Linked DNA regions of Rhinolophus ferrumequinum. Each later gene encodes a partner of the first gene's protein in a complex. Links are inferred from orthologs where the notes say so. Each region holds a gene or a part of one and is shown on either strand. Other genes may lie near its edges.

Evidence for each region. The genes of interacting proteins can lie anywhere in the genome.
Region 2: EXOSC9 (region 1) and EXOSC5 share a complex: the UniProt entries of both Homo sapiens proteins name them as parts of the RNA exosome core complex. The link is inferred for Rhinolophus ferrumequinum from reciprocal best matches to the Homo sapiens genes EXOSC9 and EXOSC5.

The regions. Positions count from the first base shown.
Region 1 is NC_046301.1:4,659,436-4,667,318, reverse strand, and holds the start of EXOSC9 (exosome complex component RRP45), read right to left. Parts: upstream 3,057-7,883; 5' UTR 2,938-3,056; coding exon 2,872-2,937; intron 2,572-2,871; coding exon 2,477-2,571; intron 1,799-2,476; coding exon 1,679-1,798; intron 1,575-1,678; coding exon 1,472-1,574; intron 590-1,471; coding exon 452-589; intron 1-451. UniProt on the Homo sapiens protein: Non-catalytic component of the RNA exosome complex which has 3'->5' exoribonuclease activity and participates in a multitude of cellular RNA processing and degradation events.
Region 2 is NC_046298.1:39,685,675-39,692,778, forward strand, and holds the start of EXOSC5 (exosome complex component RRP46), read right to left. Parts: upstream 3,041-7,104; 5' UTR 2,973-3,040; coding exon 2,837-2,972; intron 1-2,836. Other genes in the region: BCKDHA (2-oxoisovalerate dehydrogenase subunit alpha, mitochondrial), read left to right, coding at 3,481-3,585. UniProt on the Homo sapiens protein: Non-catalytic component of the RNA exosome complex which has 3'->5' exoribonuclease activity and participates in a multitude of cellular RNA processing and degradation events.

The DNA.
Region 1 (7,883 bases):
TCCTCGCACCAGCAGCATCCATATCACCTGGGAGCTGATAGAAGTACAAACTGATAGGTCCTACTAACCTTCCTACTGAGGGTGAAGCCTAGCAATGTTTTAACAAACTGGCCAGGTATTTCTGATGAACTTCGCCACAGAGTAAGCACGACCATCTCACTGTGCTGAGAAGAGTGTATTTTTCACATGTGGCCCCTAAACACTCCATCTAATGCTTGGTCCAAAGAAGAAATCATCTCGTTCTATTCTAGAAAACCAGGCTAGAGTGTGCTTTTTGACAGACATTTCAATACAGGAGATCTAAGAGTTTCAAGGGTAGTTTTTCTTTACGAACAAATTTTAGAACATACCTTGTTTCCATCTACAAGCCTTTACTACTAACAGGTTGCCTGCACGTGAAGGATATTCATTCATTCACAGAAAGAGGCCTAGCTCACATCGGGGAGCTTACCAGTGTCACTTCATCTCCTTGGACGGACACATCAGGCCTTCGGAAGTGACACAAGGCTACAATGGCAGCAATGCTGGCAGCATCAATAATATTTCCATCATGATTTAATAAATGCAGGTCCACTCGTATTTGCCAAACCTGAATGTGAATTTAAAACAAAAATAAATCCTAACTGATCACAACCAGTGGCCTTTTAAAAGGAAAAGTAACACTGTATGCAAATTTTTCTTCTGCTGTTAAAACGTGATTATTCCTCCTATTGTATCAATAAAACTGTATTTAGAAAAATGTTAAGCCAGACCAATATCTGAAATACCACCAGTTCACCTTTATATGAATCATTTCACAACAGCAAAATATAAGCCCTAAATATATAGAGCCATTCTACATTTAACACTAAGATTTCCCTATCTCCAAAACTAATTATATTTTTATTGTCTCCTAACTTAAAAACCTCAAACCCTTAGGTTTTACTTGACAAATGATAATCTTACAAGTAATGCAAATAGGAAGTGTCATATTCAAGTATGGAATGTGGAAAGGCTAAGTGACTTCTGGAGTCACAAAAGATGGTCGAAATACCCTAATCAAGGAAAAAGTACTAATGTCATCATGCAGAATAATTTATTGAGAGTAAGATTTCCAATGTCAGCCTACCACGGACTCACTGTGTAGCCTTGTATAAGTCAATAAACCTATCCAAATGAAGGATTTAATCTGTTCCTCAGTTTTTCATTCATTAAAAAAAGGAAACCATCTGCTTATCAAGTCAAACAACATAAGAAAATAAATAAAGACATATGAAAAACCGCAAGTTCTTTGAGTAAGACATTTTTTCACAAATCCAAGTTGCTACTTTTATCAATGTTTTTTGTTCCTTCACAGAGAAATGACACAAAGTTCTATGGCTGGCTCTCAGGAACATTTGAAGTGAAGTAAACCTGAGTTAAAGAAGCTCTAAGAATTAACGTAATCAACAATACTCATGCTAAGATTAAGAATTTTGAGCAGATTTCCCACCTTTTCACCAGCAACAACACAGAGAGATTCAGTGTCTATACACTTCGAATTTCTTAGACATCTTTCCAAGAGACGATTCAACTTCACCAAGAGATCTGACTGCCTATGAAAATAGGAATGGGCTAATGTCAACCAAGCGTTAAAACAATACCTCACTGCTATTAGATTCTCCTCTGGTTAAAGCAGCTTAGAAGAAAATTAAAATACCTGCCGGGTTCAAAAGCTGGGGCAGCCATCTGAGAGAGTTCAAGGTTAAAAAAAAGAATACCTTCTGTTGCCCTGTTGAGTTTTGGAGAAACAAGTTCACAGGAAACCTGTCCAAGAACTCTGCAAAGATAAAGTACAAATCTGTTAACTAAATATATTGCCTTTCCAATTAACAAAAAAACTAAAACAGATACCAATTAAGTTTCAATCATATTCTGAGTAATAACATACTCATCATGATATATCAGAGGTTGATATTACATATGTAGTGGCAGAATATATACAGGAATAAGATACATAGTGGCATACCCAAAGAGATGACAGGAAAAAACATCTCATTGCAATACTGACTATTCCACAGATCGTTTTAAAAAAAACAAATCCCCTTAACTTCTCTTTTCTAAAATAAATATTTACTGATACAAGATGGCACGAAAACTTGAGATTTCTTAAGAGTTTTCCTATGGCATGCATGGTTGGCCAATATTATCTGACCAACGTCCTCACAACCGCCAAATGAATATTAAAAATCTAATTCTCATGTCACGCAGGAAAAAGGAAAGTAGGACCTACTTACTGACAACTGAAGGAAACAAATTCATGTGACAGAATGTACATTTACGATTTAAAATTTAAAACGTGACTATAAAGCACCTTGCATTAAAGAAAATACACTTATTTTTGCAGCTAAACAAAATAACGTGCAGGATTGTTAGCTGCTCTGTAAACAACTAAGTCAGTTAGGTTCTTTTAAACTTTTCCCCGTTGAGCTTATGTTTAATTTGAAGCCAAAGTTACCTTGTTTTCCCAAGTTCCACAATACAGCACCCATAATCGGTTCCAAATGAGATTCTGATGTTCCTATAGTCGTAGGTTTGTCTGCCATCCAGGCGCTGGAAACACAATATACACCAGCTTATTCACCTCAACAGATACTGGGCAGCTACTCTGAGCCCGGGCCCTGGGCGAAGCCCTCGGAGGGAAGCGGGATCCTCCGCCTCCGCCCCAGGAAAGTAGAAACTAGGTGCCCGGGCAAAGAACCCCCTGTAGCCAAATAAAGCCTGGTGGACGAGGGACGCACCGGCCGTCCCCCAGGGGCTCCGGGGGCCTGCGGGGACCAGGTCTGTGTCCCAGCCGGAAGACTGCCGCGGGCCGGGAGACCCGAGCAGCCGAAGCTCCCCGGGACCGTTTACCTTCTTCTCCTCGATGGCGCGGAGGAGGAAGCGGCGCTCGCAGTTTGAAAGTGGTGTCTCTTTCATGATGTCGGGTCCCGGGACCCAGGGGCACCGGAATCCGTACGGAGACGGGGACCCGAGCTTCTCCACGCGCACCCTGCTCGCCGGGAGGCGCAGGACCTCTACGTCATCAGGGCTCGGCGGCCCGAGGTGCGAACGCGAAGGCTGGCGGCCGCTAGTGCGCACGCGCCCAGCGAGGATGGCGCGGGCCGAGCGGGCCGCCGAGAGCCCGGCCGCCGAGGGGGGCGCACTTCTGAGCGGAAAGGTCTGAGTCTTGTCTCCTCAAGCGTAGGGGACAGAAGGACCCGGAAGTAAGCGTCAGGGATGGAAATGAATTGCAGTGTGGCGCTCTCACGGCACCCTTTCCTCAGTTGTAGCGGGGTGGGCCGCACAGGTGTTCCTGCTGTTTTACTGGTGAGGAAGGCGACGTTTGTTCACCAGGACGCTGCAGAGGCAGAGTGTCCGGCAGATTCAGGGGAGAAACACTGAATGTAGGGGCGCAGGAGGAGAGGAGGGGGAAGAAAGTTGAGCCACGAGCTGCAGTGAAACCTCGGAGACCTGAGAAGGTGACAGAAACTGAGGCTGTCCCACTTCGTAACCAGTGGTGTTATAACTACCATTGGCTGGAACAAAATGTGCTGTTGATTTCTTACAGTCGCCCCAGTTATTTTAAACCGATTGACTTATTTTTATGGGTATAGAGGAAACAGCGTGTCCCTGCTGCCAAACCACTAAGCTTTCTTTGGAGAGGCAGCATCAAGGAGTATTAAATGCAGGAAACCCAACTACTTGGGTTCAAATAATGACTCGGCCGTTTTCTACTTCTGTGACCCTAGTCCAGTTAGCCTATGTGCTTCATTGTACTTATCTGCAAAACTGGAGTGACAGACGTCTGTACATGCTTAGAACAGTGCCCAGTCTGGTGTAAGCGCTATTACTGACATGTTTGCATAGCATTATTTTGTTTCTATTTGCTTCAGAGGCGGTAGGCACTGGAAATCCTATGGCAGGCTCTATTCCTTTCTTTTGTCTCTTACAGGTTTTTTTTTTTTTCTATCAGTGATGCATTTTAGTCTCACTTTGTAACACTTGCAATTCATGTACCTAGTTATCTGTGAGGCCCTCCTGTGTTCCAAGAATAATTCAAGTGCTGGATAAGCCGGGTGGACAGATACTGTCCCTCAAGGAATTTATATTCTCTTTGGAGGAGACAAGCAAGAAAAATAAGTTCACGGACTAAGTGCTATCCGAGAATGGGGATGCTACTTTAATAGGGGTATTTGCAGGAAGAGGTCACTTTGGAGAGGTGACCTTTGAGTTAAGTAAATCCTTAGTGATGAGAAGGAACAGCCATGATACCATCTGGAGGAAAGGAAAAGTGTTTCAAGCAAAGGAAGCAACATTAGCCAAGACTGAGATAGGATGAGCTGACATTGTCTGGAGACAGGAATTGTGAAGTAGGAGGAAAGTGCACAGAAATTATGTCCACGAGCTCAGATCGTGGACTGGTTTTCAAAATAAGGAAGAATACAGGGTACAGGCCCTTTAAGTTCTTTAACAATGTAAGTTTGTATTTATAGTACAGTTTCACTATAATTCCTGGTTAAGTTCATCATTTAAATCCTTGGATTCTTCTATGGACATTTAGTAATTTCTCTTTCCCTTCAGAAATGAAATAGGCCTTTATTGAAACCGTCTATCCTGGGAGGCAGTTTGGCTGTGGAAGAATAGACTTTTGGTTTCAGATATACTTCAGCTCAAATGGACTTTGGGTGAGTTAAATAATCCTGCTGAGTGAGGGCTTCTTTAGGTTAGAAATAATAATTGCTTTGTGTTAAGTGGTGGGGATGAAAGCACCTAACACAGTGTTCTGGACACGGTAGCTCTTCAGATGTCCGTGTCCTTCCTGTACCCCCTACCTGCCTCTCCACATCATGTGGCAGTAGTTTGTCCTGTGATCTCACTTCTGTGATGGATCTAGGAAAAGGTGTAGAGTTTTCATTTGCTCAGTTTTTGTCATGTTGTGTGGAGTGACCACTTCCAAGCTTACTACTGTTGGACCAGAAACTGGAAGTCGCATGAAGTGAAAACCTATAGCCGTTTCCTTTTAGCAAACATGCATATAACACTTACTATGTGCCAGGCCCTAATTTAAGCACTTACAAATATTAATCCTAATAATTACCCTGTAAGGTAGGTAAAAGTATTATTTTGGGGGGGGGGGAACCCAAGGCACAGAGAGTCACACAGCCCAGGGTCACACAGCTAGTGAATCCTAGGAGCAGGATTCATACCCAAGCGGTCTGTCTCAAGAGACTGTATTCGTAACCGCTGCGCTGTACTGCGTCTCGTAAATGGGAACCCATTTCTGTGCCAAGCGGGTGATCTTCGCCTTAGCCCTGAACGAGTTCTTTTGCTGTCTCTGTGAGGATCTTGACTTCCTCTCTTGAGTACTTTACAGTTGACATTATGTAGAGAAGAAAGCTGCTGTTCTTAGATTATCTGAACTCAGTTTCTTGTGCTTAGGCTTGGCACGCAATTAGAAGTACAGTGATGAAGTAGGGCTCATAAATGCAGAGACGTGAGCAGGTCCAACTGTAACTCCACAGCTTGCACACGAGAGAGAATGCGACTGGCACTGAACTGCTAACAATGAGCCATAGGAGAAGCTGGACGTGCAAAAGTGGTGTTGGCTCTTCATGGAGAGACTTACAGAATATGTCATTTGTACAACCTTAGCCACTCTTTCAGCCCCAAAGCCCAGGGATGTTGCACCTATATCATTGATTGACTCTTTACTCAAGTTAATGATTTAAGAGGGGAAGTTTCTACCTTATTTCTTGTTTTCCTCTTTCTTAAGTTGCCTAGGAAGGGAGGCTTAGTTTGTTGCAGAAGCAGCTACTTCAGGAGAAGTGGGAGAACCCCAGACGATGCTGACTCTATGTGAGGTAACAGTGGACAGCCAGGCCAGAAGGTGGTAGGTGTCACATCTCTTTAGCGAGCAATGCAGCATTATTTTGAGAGAGAACTTCAGTGGTGGGCAGCTTCTGAGATGACCCCCATGATGCCCACCTCCTGGTATTCAGGGCCTGTGTAATCCTCCCCCTTTCAGTGACCTGCCTCTAACCAATAGATATCTCAACGTGGAGGGGATGACACGTCTGTGATTAGATTGCAGAGAATGTAACTTCTATCTTGCTAGAAGATTCTGTCCCTTGTTGGGTTTGTGAAGCAAGTTTCTATGTGAGGGGGTGTCCTCCATCCAACAGCCATGGAGGTGTTGAGCCCCACAATCCGCAGCCCACATGAAACTGAGTACAGCCCACCATCACGTAGGTGAGTTGCAGACAGGTCCATTCAAGTTGTGCTTTCAGTTGAGACCCAGCCCTGGCTGATGTCTTGATTGCGTCCCTAAGAGAGGCCATTAAGCAGACCTCACTTGGCTCTGCCTAGTTTCCTGACTCATAGAAACTTGGTGATGAATGTGTGTTGTTTAAGCTGCTAAGAATCAGTAGGCAGATAAAGCAATTTCGAGAACCAACTCTCCTGAGGTAAGTACTACTTCTTTCTTTCATGTTTCACTGGCCTGTTTCCATCTTGTTGATAGTGCAAAGGAATCTCCATTTGACATTCTTTGCAACTTCTGAGCTCATCAAAAGGCTGCTGAAACATTTTGCGAAGGAATTTGTGGTACATAAAATGCTAGATCTGTGTCACTGAAGTGTGCTTTCTTTAGTGACCAGGACATTTTTTAATGATCTAACGGGTTGCCTGAAAGGAAAGCCTGGTTTGTATCTCAAGAATCTTGCTCTACTTAAGTACTAATGGACTAGAACTGTAATCTCTACCACTGGTAATAAAAATTGCAGGGGGAAATAATGACTTCTAGGACGCAAATGGAAAAGCCTTGGCCAACTTTGCTTTTGCTTTAAAAAGTAAATAAATAAACTGAGCCTGAAAATGTAGTTTGTTGAAAGTCATTGACAAAAATCCATCCAGTAATGGACTTTTTAATCTGATCCAATAATGTTATCTGAAAAGGCAGAATGCGTATTAGAATCTCAGTTATGAGTACTTATCTGTAAAATACCAGTATCTGCTTATAAACAGGGGCTGGGAGGGAAGATTGAAATTATAGAGATTATATATTATGTTTGATGGTGGTATTTTTCTTTACTTTTCATTTGATATCACTGGTAAAAATTGGATTGTGTAAGAAGTAAAACTCTGTAAGAATCTAGTCATTTATACAAGTATTTCCTGTGGTCCTACTATGTGCCAGGCTCTATTCTAAGCACTGGGACAATGCAATACACACAATAGTCACAGTCCCTTAGAGCTTATGTTATAGAGACAGGTGGACAGTCCAATCATCTGCAGACAAGCACATGAATAATGGCTGACAGTGATAAGTGATATAAAGAAAAGTAAAGCCAGGCCAGGGGAAGAGGAGGGTCAGGAGAGCATAATCAGGAAGGAGCGTCTCCGATGAGGAGGCGTTTGAGGGAGCCTGAAAATGTGGGCATGAAGGAGTATGTAAGTGGAGTGTGGCATTCAAGATGATCAAATAGGATGTGAGCAAGGTTGCTGGAGACAAATAAGGTGACTTCTTTGAGGTTCTTTAGCAAGTACTTAGCACACGTGGACGTGGTTTCATGAGCAGGAGTTTAATAGATAAGGAGCTCAGGCTCCAGAGCCAATGGCCTGGATGAACTTCCAGCTGCAGCTTATGAGCTGGGTGACCTTGGGCAAGGTGTAAACCTTTCTGGAAAAAAAATGCAGCTAATAATACCCTCATAAAGTGGTGCTGCGGATTAAATACTATGTGCAAAGCGCTTGGAGTAGCTCTCAGCCCACATTTAGCAATAATAAAGATTAGTTACAGTGACTGTTCTTACTAAGTTTCCTCCATTACAATACTTATTCTTTATTAAGGGAGATCAACACATGTCACTCTACAGGGATACAAC
Region 2 (7,104 bases), on another chromosome or scaffold:
TGGGTTCTGGGGCTCTTCGTTTTAAGCTCACCAGAGATTCTGAGGCCAAAAGCACCTGGAACACACCTTTAAGGGTCTTCAAGGACTCCCCTTGCTCCAAGGTCCTGGGGCTTTGGGGTTTTAGAACAGGAAGGCGCTAACAAACTCCAGGCGTCTGATTTTAGCAAGACAGCTAAGCCTGGGGGTGGGACTGGGAAGGTCCTCTGTTGGGGCTGTTTTTCCTGAGGGAGGAAGAGCTGCCACACAACTGAGGGGTTCTCTGTGCTCCCGGAGAATCTACCCTGAAGGGCGAAGTTACCCAAGAAGAACTAGATCCACGCTGGGGTCTTTATTCCTCTTACTCCCGATGAGCGGTCTGCCGTCCCCTTAAGCACAGGAGTCCTTCCTCTCACCTTCTCCGCTACATGGCACCAGCAATTCTCTAGAGCAATTCTCTCCTCTCCAGACCCACATCCATCTTCAACTCCGGCCCCATGAATCTGATCCTCTTACAGCCAAGCTCCTGAGGAGCTGTCTCCATTTGCTATCTCCTTTTCCTCTTTTCCTTGACCCCGCCACTCCACTGGAATATCTCTTGACAGCATCACCAATCAACCCCCAGGTCTGTTCCATCCTCATGTGATGCAACCCCTCAGTAGGACTGATGTAGCTAGTCAGACCTTCACATCTCAAACGCCTTCTCTGGGCTCTAGGTCACCGCCCTCTTTCAGTTTTTCTCCTGTCTTACTGGCTGCTCCTTCTCAATGTCTTCTGCTACAGTGTTTCCCCCAAAACAAGACCTAGCAGGACAATCAGCTCTAATGCGTCTTTTGGAGCAAAAATTAATATAAGACCCAGTCTTATTTTACTATAAGACCAGGTCTAATATAATATGATATAATACAATATAATGTAATATAATACAATACTGGGTCTTCTATTGATTTTGCTTATATTATATATTATTATATATTATATATTGAGACCTGTATAGTAAAATAAGACTGAATCTTATGTTAATTTTGCTCCAAGAGATACATTAGAGCTGATTGTCCAGCTAGGTCTTATTTTCGGGGAAACACAGTAGTTCCTCACAAGTGAGAAGACTCAGGGCTTGGTCCTGGGACCTCTTCTCTTTCCCATCTACACTCCACTTTTCTAGGTGATTTCATTCAATCAAGAGCTCAAAATACCATCGATAGCCAGAGGATTTCATATGGTATGTCCAGATTGGGTCCCTCCTCTGAATTCCAGACTTGTATGTCCAATGGCCCGGTCCAGATTGCCACTGTAGTATCCACTAGGCACCGCAAACTTCATGTTCCACACTGAACTCATCTTGCCCTAGCACAGCCGATCTGGGCAAAAACCTTAGCATGATTCCTCTCTTCTCATACCCCCAAACCAAACCATCTGCAAATTTTGTCGGTTTTACCAACAAAATACATCCAGAATTTCACCACCTCCATTGCTTCCACTCTGGTCTGGGCCACCATGACCTCCCCCTTTCCCCATACCATCTCCAGGCAACACTGAATCCAGAGAGATTCTGTTAAAATATATTCAGATCATGTCACTCCTCTGAGCAAAACTTCCAATGGCTCCCACCTCATTCACTAAGCCATAAACTTGTACGATGGGCAAGCTTCAGTACCTCTCTCCAAACCTCCTCTCACTCACTGCTCCAGCACACTGGTCTCACTTCCTCAAACACATCAAGCAAGTTCTTGCCTCAAGGCCTTTGCACCTGCTATTCCTCACGCTTGGGATGCTTTCGCTCTTCACTCCTGTTTATTTTCAGGGTTTGCTCCCTTACCTCTAGGTCTTTATTCAAATGTTACCATCTTACTGCAGCCTTTTCTGACCATCCTATTTAAGACTGCAACCCTCTCGGGCGTACTCTATTCCCCTTTCCTACTATATTTTTCTCCATAACATTTTACTTAGTTATCTTATTTACTGTCTGTCTTTTTTATTAGGGTGTAAATTCCATTAGGTCAGGGATTTAAAATATTTTTATTGATATATTCTCAGTGCCTGGAACGGTACTTGGCACAAATACATGTGTCCAATGAATGAAGAAATGAATGAAAGCAGGTTTGTAATTGAGTAGAAGCTAGTGCCCTAGGGAGAGAACTGAAGCATCTATAGGGGTAATCCTTAGGCCTATCTTTAGAGGAATTATTTACCCGGGTCAGGGAGTTTGAGAGGTATTTAGCTAGAGGAAGGGAATACTTACCCAATAGGCAAGACCTGCTCCAATGTTAGGGATATTTACTCACATGGAGAGATGTGTATCCCTGTCAAAGGGATATTTACCCAATTGGTGGGGTGGGGGTGGGGAAAATCTCCTACCAGGGTGCAGACATCACCTATGACATGAAAAGTATTTACTTGGGTGAAAGATCTGCCATTGCAGGGAGTAAATTAAGCCGGTAATGGGGCATTTATGCAAATTGGCAGGTTTGCCTCTGCCTGGGACGTAAGGACTCAGGGGTAGGGGTGTGTGTGTGTGTGGAGGAGGAGGAAATCAAATCAAGGGGGACATTTATCTTGGTTTGATTTTCCCTGTTCTGGAGTATTCACGCTTATGGGGAGGTCTGCACCTCTCTCCTTATAATCATTTACCAGGGTGGAGATATCTTCTCCCTACTAGTCGGGAGAGATATTTGCATCCTAACGTATTTAGTAGTATCCACCTGAAGAAGACGTTCTGTACCAGTTCAGGAGCGACATTTACCTACTAGTATCAAAAGAGGTGGGCATTCTTTGCACGTTACACCTTTGGCGCCCCCTAAAACAAATACGACCTGGATGGCCGTGGCTCCGGCAGTATTTACCTGGCTTAAGTTCTCACCTTGCAAGAAAGAGGCAGAACCATCCGGCCGGGACAACAGGTTCTGTTCGCAGGCAAAGTGCCGGAGGCTGCAGCCGGGGCCCTGAGGGCCCGGCTCTGTTCCACCCGCAGTGCGGATCTTGGCGTCAGTCTGCATCGCCCCCTCCACAAGACCAAACCACGCGCGCTGTCGCTTCCGCACAGAGTGCGCGCTTGCGTACAGGCGGCGTACCCAGTGCGCACGCGCCGATCCCGGACAGCCCAGCTCGGGGGCCCGCACGTGGCTCCCCGTTTACTAACAACCTGGCCCCGCCCCCTCCTGCCTCACAATTCTAGAAGGAGCATTGGACAGTAGAGAAGGCGGGGCGGGCCTTGGCATGGGCTCGTCCTACCCGAGGCCCCCGGGCCTTAAAATCCTGAGGCTCTGGTCACGTTGCCCTTTTCTTTGCCTGTTACAGAAACAACTGTGATGAGGCGATCAGAGTAATTTTTGGGTAGCTAGGTTGTTTCATACACCCATATATAGATGTCGTAGAGACCGCAGGACTAGTAGCAGGTGGTTTCTTGGCAGGGTGGTGCTGGCATTTGAGTAAGGCTCAGGAAGGGGCAGCTCCCAGTCTCGCGGAGGAGAGGGGAGGAGCGCAGAGCAGTTGTTGTTGGTCAAGATGGCGATGGCGGCTGGCGCGGCGCGGATTTGGGGACCAAGTAGAGGCTCGCGCTATGTTGGCCTGCTCCTGCGGCGGCTTGGGGTTCGGCGGCTGGCTAGAACTGTGAGTACCTGGGGCACCGGGGAGTTTTCCCCAAGGGGGACTAGGGGTGTCAACGCTGTCTTTAGAGTGTGGGGTCCCTGCAGGGAGAGAAGGAAGGGCTGTCACAGAAGGGACAAGGGTAGGGAGAACCACTTGGAGAGGACACTCAAAGGGAGACCTTCCACTTCCTTAAAAGAGGAAAAGCGAGGCAGCTTCTTTGGGGATCCTGAAGGAGGGATACAACTTGGAAAAAGAGGGGGGGGTTCCTCATTAGTTGCCACCCACCCCCCACGGGAGGGGTGGCCCCCTGGAGAGACCAGAGAAGGAGAGGAGACCTTTGCCCACGGGGGGTGGAGAGTGAAACTGCCTTAGTGAGGGGAAGACTTTGTGTTCGGTCAAGAACCCCCACCTTCAAAGAGGAGAAAAGAGAGATCACGTCCCCTGCTACCGGCTTTCATAGTGCTCTGTATTTCTTTGCTCCTTTGCTGCAATTCTGATTTTTAAATGGATGGCATAAAAAAGTTGTTTGGTCCTGGGCCGCCTCACCAAGTACCAGGACAGGGATCTTGTCTGTTTTGATCACTCTATAAAGGAGATGATCAGTAAATATTTGTTGAAGTAATGAGAGGAGAAAACGAGGGAGAGGGGTCCACAGGGCACTTTGTCCACATTTTTTAGAAACACATCGAACTGGAAGTCCCTGTGGGCTACCTTAGAACTATGAACTGAAGTTTCACAATAAGAGAATAGTTGTTTAGAAGGTAGGTTATGAAGCAAGACCACCGTGGTTTTATATCCCAAATCTACAAGTTTACAGCTGTGTAGCCTTGGGCAAGGGATTGCTGCTCTCTGGACCTAATTTCTTTCCCCCTCGGGAAAATGCTAACAGTGGCACTACATAGTATTGTTGTGAAAATTAAATATATAGAATGCTAAGAATTGGCCCTGGCATATGATAAGGACAATAGGAACGTTGGCCACTTTTGAAAGTGAGGGAGGAGGAAAGGGAGGGAGAAGAAGGGTGACCTGGGTAGAGCCTGGGTTGGTGAGGGCCTTGGAGAGAATTTGTCAGGATCTTGTGGTGTTGGGTCTGACCCTCTGACCCTCCAATCCAGAACATAGGAAAGCTGGAAGCTGTGGGAAGGAGCTCTAGATAAGAGGAGAAACATGGGAGGAGGATGAAGAGGATGGGTCGGGAATGAGGGGAGGGATCCTTGGAAGGGCGTCTGGATTTTGGAAGGGCTGCTGGGGCAGGATGTGGGTAGGGCAGTCTCCTGCCTTTGGGTTTGTCTGTGTTGCTTTGTTTTTTTTTTAAAGCAGTAAAAAAAAGCTGTTCTCAGTCACAGGAGCCTGTTGGCTGAGTCAGTGCGAGATGGGCAGGACTGGTGAAAGTGTAGGGAAGGGTCATTTGTGGTTGATTAAATATTGTTTCTCACCCCAATAAATTAAAAAAAAATATTCTTCCTTCTTGACTCAGTCACCCTGCTGCCCTTCCCTCGTTCATTTCTTTTTTTTTTTTTTTGGTGGGAGGGGTGCGCGACAGGAGGAGGAGGTCTTTCAGAATCCCTACTTTTTATTTACATATATTTTTAAGTATGTATATTTTTGGAGTCCCTGTTTTTTCTTCCCCTCTTTTATTTCTTCCACTTGGTCTAAGATATAAAATAACACTTTTTTTTTTTTTTTGAGTGGAAGGAAGGAGGAGTAGCATTTAATCAAAGATTTTAGGCCAGGCTGTCAATAGAACTTTTTGCAGTGATGGAAGTGTTTTATATCTGCACTGTTCAGTACAGTAGCCACTAACCACACGTGGCTACTGAGCCTGAAATGTAGCTAGTGCCACTGAGGGACCGAAGTTTTCACTTTACAGACAGTTGCCAACTTATGATGGTTCGACTTAACATTTTTCAACTTTATGATGGTGGGAAAGCAATACACATTCAGTAGAAAACTTGTTTCAATTTTGAATTTCGATCTTTTCCTCGGCTGGCGATATGATATGCAGTACGGTACTTCCTCGTGACGCTGGACAGAGGCAGTGGGCCCCCAGTCAGCCATACGCTCACGAGGGCGAACAGCTAATACTCTACAGTGTTCTGTGTTGCCAGCGCTTTTTGCATATTGTGTTTTCACACCCTGTCATGTCTACAAAACGCACATCTGTGTCTCCTGCTTCTGATGAGAGGAAAAAGGAAGGCAGTGACTCTTGAGACAAACTCAAGATAATCGCCCCGTTGTAGGCTAATGTAAGCATTCTGAGCTCGCTCAAGGTAGGTGAGGCTAAGCTCTGATGTTCAGTAGGTCAGGTGTTTTAAATGTGTGTGTGTGTTTTTTTTTAAGATTTTATTGGGGAAGGGGAACAGGACCTTATTGGGGAACAGTGTGTACTTCCAGGACTTTTTCCAAGTCAAGTTGTTGTCCCGTCAATCTTAGTTGTGGAGGGTGCCGTTCAGCTTCAAGTTGTCCTTTCAGTCTTAGTTGTGGAGGGCGCAGCTCAGCTCCAGGTCCAGTTGCCGTTCCTAGTTGCAGGGGGCGCTGCCCACCATCCCTTGTGGGAGTCGAACCGGCAACCTTGTGGTTGAGAGCCCGTGCTCCACCCAACTGAGCCATCTGGGAGGCAGCTCAGCTCAAGGTGCCGTGTTCAATCTTAGTTGCAGGGGGCAGAGCCCACCATCCCTGTGGGACTCGAGGAGTTGAACCGGCAACCCTGTGGTTGAGAGCCCACTGGCCCATGTGGGAATCCAACCGGCAGCCTTCGGAGTTAGGAGCACGGAGCTCCAACCGTCTGAGCCACCGGGCCATCCCCTTAAATATATTTTTGATTTATGGTATTTTCAGTTTATGCTGGGTTTTTTTGGACTTCAACCATTGTCAGTCAAGGAGCATCTTACTTAATTTTAATGAATTTAAATAGACATAAGTGGCTTCTGGCTTTTGTGTTGGATGGTGCAATTTTAGCCGTTCAAAGTGGAGCCAGGAGATAGCGCCTTGTGGGGGGGAACAGACTGTAGTGCACAGATTGGGTTGTTCTGGTGGCTGGGTTGGGAGGACGGCTGGGGCTGCCTTATTTCTCCCTGCCTGTCTGCCCCTCCTTTCACCGTGGAGGCATTTGCCTGATTCTGCCTTCCTCCCTCCCCCTCCAGTCGCTAGAAGATAGGTTAGTGCGCAGGGAGAACAGGAGGGAGACTTGATTGTCACGGAGTCCTGAGTCAGTTTCTCAGCCACCACCCCAAGAAGCAAGTGGGACCTCAGCCAAGTCATTTCACTTCTCTTTGCTTAGCAAATGGGTAACTAGAGTTCCTGCCCTGTTGGAATTTCAGGGAGCACCTAGAGCTCCCTGTGTGAATTAGCAGGGATGTTATTTCTCTGACCCAACTGATCAGACAGCCTGTCTGGGCTCTAGTACCCTCTGCAGTGTCTCCAAGTGGTTGGTGCCCTGTGTGTATTGTGGGATGAATGGAGATGGTCCTTACTGATCTAATTGTATGGGTCCATCTCCCTCTTGGCTGTGTCTTAAGGAACCAGACCTCTTTTTCGTTT